Oryctolagus cuniculus: one gene and its partner. The protein of the gene in region 1 interacts with the protein of each later gene in a pairwise test. Links are inferred from orthologs where the notes say so. Each region holds a gene or a part of one and is shown on either strand. Other genes may lie near its edges.

Region 1 (3,560 bases):
TGGAGAGATTGTAGAAAAAATTGGAGTCCACCTAATCAGAACTGGCAGCCAGCCGCTAAGAGTAATTGTCCATGACACGGGAACATCACCGGATCAGGTATGTTTAGGTGACATTAATTTGCTCTCTTTCACCTGCCTTTGAATGGTGTTCCTCCCTACCCTAGAAAATGAAGGCAGAAAGCCTGCCCTAGGATCAGAACAGTGTTGCTTGAGGGGAAAGAGGATGAAACTTAGGTCCCAGGGTTTTGTTTCTCAAAGTGTTCCTAATTCATCAAGGCTTCTTAAACAAATCTTGGAGCTGGTGCTGTGGCACAGTAGGTTAATCCTCTGCCTGTGGCACCAGCATCCCATATGGGTGCTGGTTCTAGCCCCAGCTGCTCCTCTTCCAATCCAGCTGCCTTCTATGGCCTGGGAAAGCAGTAGAAGGCCCAAGTCCTTGGGCCCCTGCACTCGTGTAGGAGACCTGGAAGAAGTTCCTGGCTCTGGTCCAGCTCCAGCTGTTTGGACCACCTAGCAAATGGAAAACCTCTCTCTCTCTGCCTCTCTGTAACTCTTTCAAATAAAATAAATAAATAAATCTTGAGGCCAGTGCTGTGGCGCAGTAGGTTAATCCTCTGCCTGTGGCACCAGCATCCCATATGGGCTCCAATTTGAGTCCCAGCTGCTCTTCTTCCAGGCCAGCTCTCTGCTATGGCCTGGAAAAGCAGTAGAAGATGGCCCAAGTGCTTGGGCCCCTGCACCTGCACAGGAAACCGGGAAGAAGCTTCTGACTCTTGACTTAGGATCGGCACAGTTCCAGCCATTGTGGCCATTTGGGGAGTGAACCAGCGGAAGGAAGACCTTACTCTCTGTCTCTCCCTCTTAATTGTCTGTAATTCTACATCTCAAATAAATAAAATCTTTTTTAAAAAATAAATAAATCTTTAAAAAAAGAAGCAAATATTTGCTCTTCCCATTCCATATCTGATTTATTTTCAATAAGTCTACTAATCTCAGTACTATCTTTAAGGAATGAAAATGATATAAAGTAAATTATAGTTCAAAAGATAAGGACCAGAGGAAATATGAGTATCAAAGCAAGGATGGCCCCGATTTCTTCTGTTGGCGTGTTGTTATTATTAGCTCCTGGATCAGAAAGAGGAAATAAGCACATGTTCTTTCTTTTCTTTTCCTTTTTTTTTTTTTTTTTACATTTATTTATTTGAAAGATGGAGTTACAGAGAGAGGGAGAGATAGAGAGAAAGGTCTTCCATCCACTGGTTCACTTCCCAAATGGCCTCAATGGTTGGGACTGAGCCTGGACAAAGCCAGGAGCTTCTTCCAGGTCTCCCACTCGGGTGCAGGGGCCCAGGCACTTGGGCCATCTTCCACTGCTTTCCCAGGCCAGAGCAGAGAGCTGGATTGGAAGTAGAGCAGCCAGAACTCGAAACAGCACCCATTTGGGATGCTGGCACTGTAGGTGGCAGCTTTATCCGCTACACCACAGTGCATCTAGCTGAATCTTGATGCTTAGTAAGCTGTTGAACCAAAAAGTTGGCAGCAATAATGAGCTCTGTCTTCAGATCCTTTCTCTCTTTTGGGCCCTGTCTAGGTGAAGAAAGCCCTTTGCGTCCTCATCCAACATAACCTGGTGATATATCAAGTGCACAAGCGCGGTGTAGTGGAGTATGAAGCCCAGTGCAGCCACATGTTGCGAATGCTTAGGTATCCGCGGTACATCTATACTACCAAAACACTGTACAGTGATACTGGAGAGCTGATTGTTGAAGAGCTGCTGTTGAACGGCAAAATGACCATGTCCGCTGTTGTGAAGAAAGTGGCGGATCGGCTCACAGAGACCATGGAGGGTCAGTACCACATCCACAGCTATTGGCGAAAGCATAGACTGGCTGGCTACAGGAGTGAATCCCAGCTACCCTAAGCCATCTCACCTGTCTCTTTACTCCCATTGTGCAGATGGCAAGACTATGGACTATGCTGAGGTATCAAACACGTTTGTGCGACTGGCAGACACACACTTCGTACAGCGCTGTCCCGTGGTGCCTGCCACTGAGGATTCAGACTCTGGGCCTCCACCGCCTGCCCCCACGCTTGTCATTAATGAGAAAGACATGTACGTGGTTCCTAAACTGAACCTGATAGGTAAGGAATTTTGACCCCTGGAACTGTGGCTTACCCTGATTGTAGATTCTTCTTCGTTGATCGTTGAATGAATCAGTTGAGCATTTGTCAAGTATTTGCTTGATGTGTACCAGACATTATAGCCTATCATAATGAAAAATCCATGGTCCTTGCCCTTATGGGGTCTAAGTCATACAAAAGACATACATTAACCAAAAATCACTTAGATATATGACAAACTGTGGTGAGTACTATGAAGGAAAACTAGGAGGCATTCTAAAAACATATGTTGGAGAACAGGATTTGTCTGGGCACTTAGGGGTCGTGTTTCTTTGAGAAAGTGACATTTGAGCTAAGATTCAAAGCACAAGTTGGAGCTAACCAGTGAAGCAACAGAGGGTAAGCATTTTTGGCAAAGGGACTTTTTGGTAGTGAGAAAAAAAATTGGCATTTGAAGAGGTGAAAGGTAGTCAGTGTGGCTACAGCAAGGCGAACAAAGGACAAGGGGAGAAATGGGAGAAGGGTCAAGAGAAAGTCAAGAGGCTAGGTCAGGCAAGCTTACACAAGGAGTCTTCTCAGAGTTTGTGGAAAATGTATATTATGGAAACACTGTGCATGAATTTCAAAATTGTACACTCAAGTTATCTTTTTTAAAGATGTATTTACTTATTTGAAAGTCAGAGTTACACAGTGAGAGAAGGAGAGGCAGAATGAGAGAAAGAGAGGTCTTCCATCCACTGGTTCACCCCCGAATTGGCCACAACAGCCAGAGCTGCGCCAATCCGAAGCCAGGAGCCAGGAGCTTCCTCCCGGTCTCCCAGTGGGTGCAGGGGCCTAGGCACTTGGGCCGTCTTCTACTGCTTTCTCAGGCCATAGCAGAGAGCTGGATCGGAAATGGAGCAGCCCAGACTCAAACCAGTGCCCATGTGGGATGCCAGCACTGCAGGTGGTGGCTTTACCTGCTATGCTACAGCGCCAGCAGATTTTAATTCCATTTTCTACAAAATTTTTGAAATACTCTGATAGAACATCTACTCTTTATCCTAAGAGCAAAGGAAAACCACTAAAGGATTTTAAGCAGGGGAGCAACATAATCTAATTTAGATCTGTAAAAGCAATAGAAAGGATAGGAGGATGAGACAAAAGTGAATGTAGATAGCCTGGAGGAAAATTAGGTACAGAAGGGGTGAGGGAGGCAGAGGGATCCAGAATGACGTGTGTGTGTCTGACTTGTGCATGTGGGAGGATGGTGGCACCGTTCACTGAAAAAGGAAGCATTGAAAGAGGACCCAGTCTGAGGGAGAAAGATTAGGAATTCCATTTTGAACTTGCTGAACTTCAGATGACTTCATCATTTCTTTGAGTTTCTTATGGTTCTGAAGTCTCCTAAAAAACTCATAACCTAACAGCAGCCACGGATGTCTTTGGGATGAAGAGAG
Region 2 (4,120 bases), about 130 kb from region 1:
TGTACCTGCATGGAAGACCTGGAAGAAGCTCCTGGCTCCTGGCTTCAGAGCGAAACAGTTTTGGCTGTTGTGGCCAGTTGGGGAGTGAACCAGTGGATGGAAGACCTCTCTCTCTCTCTCTCTCTCTACCTCTCTCTCTAACTCTGCCTTTCAAATAAATAAAATAAATCTTTAAAAAAAAAAAAAGAGTTACAGGCCAGCGCCGTGGCTCAATAGGCTAATCCTCCGCCTTGTGGCGCCGGCACACCGGGTTCTAGTCCTGGTTGGGGCGCCGGATTCTGTCCCAGTTGCCCCTCTTCCAGGCCAGCTCTCTGCTATGGCCCAGGAGTGCAGTGGAGGATGACCCAAGTGCTTGGGCCCTGCACCCCATGGGAGACTAGGAGAAGCACCTGGCTCCTGGCTTTGGATCAGTGCGATGCGCCCGCCGCGTCGGCCATTGGGGGTGTCTCTCTCTCTCTCTCTCTCTCTCGCTGTCCACTCTGCCTGTCAAAAGTAAAAAAAAAAAAAAAAAAAAAAAAAAAAAGAAGAAGAAGAAGAAGAAGAGTTACAGAGAGGAAATAAAAGATTTTCCAACCACTGGTTCATTCTCCAGATGGCTACAATAGCCAGGGCTGAGCCAAACTGAAATCTGGAGACAGGAAGCCAAACTGAAATCTGGAGACAGGAACTCCATCCAGGTCTCTCACGTGAGTCACTTTCACTGCTTTTCCAGGCGCAATAGCAGGGAGTTGGGTTGCAAATGGAGCCACCAGGATTTGAACCAGAACTTATACAGGATGCCTGGTAACAGGCCTTCCCTTATGTTGCTAGACCACTTCATGAGCCCCAGGGATGTTATTTTTAGACACTTGTGTCTGCGGACCTCCAGTCTAAATTATCTCAGGACCCTAGGTGAACTTTTCAGATCCTTAGCATTCTTTCCTCGTTCCCCCATTTCCCTTGGTACCTTCCAGCTGGACAGAAATTCATTCCTAAAATATGCAGATGGAAGCTATGGTAACCATGGAGACAGGGCAGGTGGCAAGGAGAGGCAGACAGTGAGAGAGACAGATAGTGACAGATAGGAAGACAGAAAACACCAAGAGCAACCAGAATAGAGACCTTCAAGCAAGATGGAAAAATAAAGAGTCTAAGCAAGACTGAGAGTAAGGAAATGCAATGAGAGAAGGTGTTACTTGGTTCCCTCCTTTCCCTGCCCCCTTTCTAGTAGGTCTCTCCTCCCAAGATTAGAAGGAGGCGGCACCTGGGAACGCCCCTCGCCCTATGTAAAAATGCCCCCAGACATCCACTTTCCTTCCTGCTCATCTAAGGGGTCTGCATAAAGGAGCTGAGGCTCTCTGTGCTGTGTGTCCCCTTTTGGTGGAGGTGGGGTAGTGATGTACCTCCCTGTCTGATTCCTGACTGGACCGTGATCTACCAGGGATTTCAACTGCAAGAAGGCAGTCAGACCTCCCGTTTCTCTGCACACTACCGTATGGATGCCGGCTCCGGATCCCAATCGACTGGCTACACCCCTCTGCACAGTGTGTCATGTGCGGTGTGTGACAGGTTAAGTCTGGCGCACAAGCACACCAAATGCGGAGAATGGAGATCTGCTGAGGCTCTGCCGAGAATTCGGATGGTCGCTGTCGTGGTCTCGGAGTCGTCCCCTAAGGGACACTTTAGGTTTGTTGGGGCTTAGGGGAGGTCGGCTCAGATAAGGGAAGTCAAGATTGGAGCCTCCAGGTTTTTCAGGGTTTATGTGTGCATGAGTGGGGGAGCGGTTTGCTGCCGGACGCCCCCACCCGCAGAGACTGGGCTATAAATAGCATAGGAGAGCTCCGCCCCCTTCCCCCCCGCCCCCCCAGCTTCTCTCCTCCCGAGCCGGCGCTGTGCCCGGGGCGCACCGGGAGGAGGGACCAGGATCCGGTGCCGGGGCGCAGATTCTGACACCAAGGGAATCGGGTGCCCCCCCACGCCATGTGGGCCCCTGGGAACCTGGCTCCGCCACCCCGGCTGTCCGGTGAACACGGCCTCAATCCTGGCCAGGCAGAGATTCTGCGGACATTCAGGTATCTATTTGGGTGCACAGCCTGGGAGGGGAAAGAGCAAGGAGTGATGGGGAATACAGCAGGAGCAAAAGAAACCCCCAATTCTCCCTCCACCCGTTTTAGGTCCCAAATGCAAGCTGCTTCCCTCCCCCTACTCAATTTTTGGGGCTGTGGCAACCTAAAAGAGGTTAGGAATGGGAATATGTGTTTATACGGGAGCATGTGTGTGGGTGGGTGGCGTTCAGCATCCTAGAAAGGGGGATTCCAAGTGTGGGTAAGAAAAGGGGGATGCTGGAAAGGTCTGAGAAGCCGTGGGGGTGAGAGTGGGGGTACGGATGTCTCTGCGCGTGCACGTACGCAGCTGCACGCGCGCTCACCCTTCAGCGCGGGTGCACCCTTCCCACCTCCTCAGGCATGCGCTGGGGGGAAGGGGAGGCTCCAAGGCACGAGTTAGAGGCAGGACTGTGTGTCGCCTCACACCGGACGCCTCCAGCGGTGCCTCAGTTTCCTTGCTGAATCCGCCAATATGATCCATCTCTTTCTTGTAGGGTTCAGCTTCATCACTGAGACCCCAGGCCTCTGTCAAGCACCACCCCCAGACCCCTAGCCATCTGCGGCAGGTCCCAGACCCGGCTCCATCAGTGCCCTCTCTCCAGCCGCAGCTATGCTGCACACCGAGGGCCACGCTCTGCTTCGGGCTGTGGGTCAGGGTAAGCTGCGTTTGGCCCGTTTGCTTCTGGAGGGGGGCGCCTACGTGAATGAGGGCGATGCCCAGGGGGAGACTGCGCTAATGGCGGCCTGTCGGGCCCGTTACGACGACCCCCAGAACAAGGCGCGCATGGTACGCTACCTCCTGGAGCAAGGCGCGGACCCCAACATCGCAGACCGCCTAGGGCGCACGGCTCTCATGCATGCTTGCGCCGGAGGTGGGGGCGCCGCGGTGGCTTCGCTGCTCCTGGAGCACGGCGCAGACCCCTCCGTCAGAGATCACGCAGGCGCCTCGGCGCTTGTCCACGCCCTGGACCGTGGGGACCGCGAGACCCTCGCCACACTGCTGGACGCCTGCAAGGCCAAGGGCACGGAGGTCATCATCATCACTACCGATACGTCGCCCTCGGGCACCAAGAAGACGCGGCAGTATCTCAATTCTCCACCGTCCCCGGGGGTGGAGGATCCTGCTCCCGCTCCACCTAGCCCGGGAGTCTGCACGTCGCCTTCAGAAATCCAGTTGCAGACTGCAGGAGGAGGGCGTGGCTTGTTGTCCCCTCGCGCCCAGGAGGAGGAGGAGAAGCGGGACGTATTCGAATTCCCTCTTCCTAAACCCCCCGATGACCCTTCCCCTTCAGAGCCTCTCCCCAAACCGCCCCGCCATCCCCCGAAACCACTCAAAAGGCTCAACTCCGAGCCCTGGGGCCTGGTGGCCCCTCCACAGCCGGTTCCGCCCGCCGAAGGGAGGCCGGGGATCGAGCGCTTGACCGCCGACTTCAACGGGCTGACCCTGAGCGGCAGACCCCGTCTTTCCCGACGTCACAGCACCGAAGGCCCGGAGGACCCGCCCCCGTGGGCGGAGAAAGTGACGGGCGGGGGGCCTCTCTCGCGCCGGAACACAGCGCCCGAGGCTCAGGAGTCTGGCCCAGCCTCGGGGTTGAGGCAGAAGCTCAGCCGCATGGAGCCGGTGGAGCTCGACACCCCCGGACATCTTTGCCCCGACTCGCCCGAGTCCAGTCGCCTGTCCCTGGAGCGTCGCCGATACAGCGCCTCCCCGCTGACCCTCCCTCTAGCCGGCTCGGCTCCCTCCCCGCGCCAGTCCCAGGAGAGTCTGCCCGGGGCTGTATCGCCGCTGAGCGGACGGAGGCGGAGCCCCGGGCTGCTGGAGCGGAGGGGCTCCGGGACGTTGCTCCTGGACCACATCTCGCAAACGCGCCCAGGTTTCCTGCCTCCGCTCAACGTCAGCCCCCACCCTCCCATCCCCGACATTCGTCCCCAAGCCGGAGGTCGGGCGCCTTCGCTGCCTGCCCCTCCGCATGCGGGGGCGCCAGGCTCTCCCAGGACCAAGCGCAAGCTGGTGAGACGCCACTCCATGCAGACTG

Evidence for each region.
Region 2: the proteins of POLR3C (region 1) and POLR3GL interact in binary tests that used the Homo sapiens proteins (3 or more experiments, as listed by UniProt). The link is inferred for Oryctolagus cuniculus from reciprocal best matches to the Homo sapiens genes POLR3C and POLR3GL.

Annotation. Positions count from the first base shown.
Region 1 is NC_091438.1:49,059,325-49,062,884, reverse strand, and holds part of POLR3C (DNA-directed RNA polymerase III subunit RPC3), read left to right. Parts: coding exon 1-97; intron 98-1,591; coding exon 1,592-1,847; intron 1,848-1,956; coding exon 1,957-2,142; intron 2,143-2,696; exon of another isoform or gene 2,697-3,560. UniProt on the Homo sapiens protein: DNA-dependent RNA polymerase catalyzes the transcription of DNA into RNA using the four ribonucleoside triphosphates as substrates.
Region 2 is NC_091438.1:48,927,991-48,932,110, forward strand, and holds the start of POLR3GL (DNA-directed RNA polymerase III subunit RPC7-like), read right to left. Parts: upstream 2,579-4,120; intron 2,073-2,578; 5' UTR 1,978-2,072; exon of another isoform or gene 1,887-1,977; intron 1,666-1,886; exon of another isoform or gene 1,536-1,665; intron 1-1,535. Other genes in the region: ANKRD34A (ankyrin repeat domain-containing protein 34A), read left to right, coding at 2,695-4,120. UniProt on the Homo sapiens protein: DNA-dependent RNA polymerase catalyzes the transcription of DNA into RNA using the four ribonucleoside triphosphates as substrates. Specific peripheric component of RNA polymerase III which synthesizes small RNAs, such as 5S rRNA and tRNAs.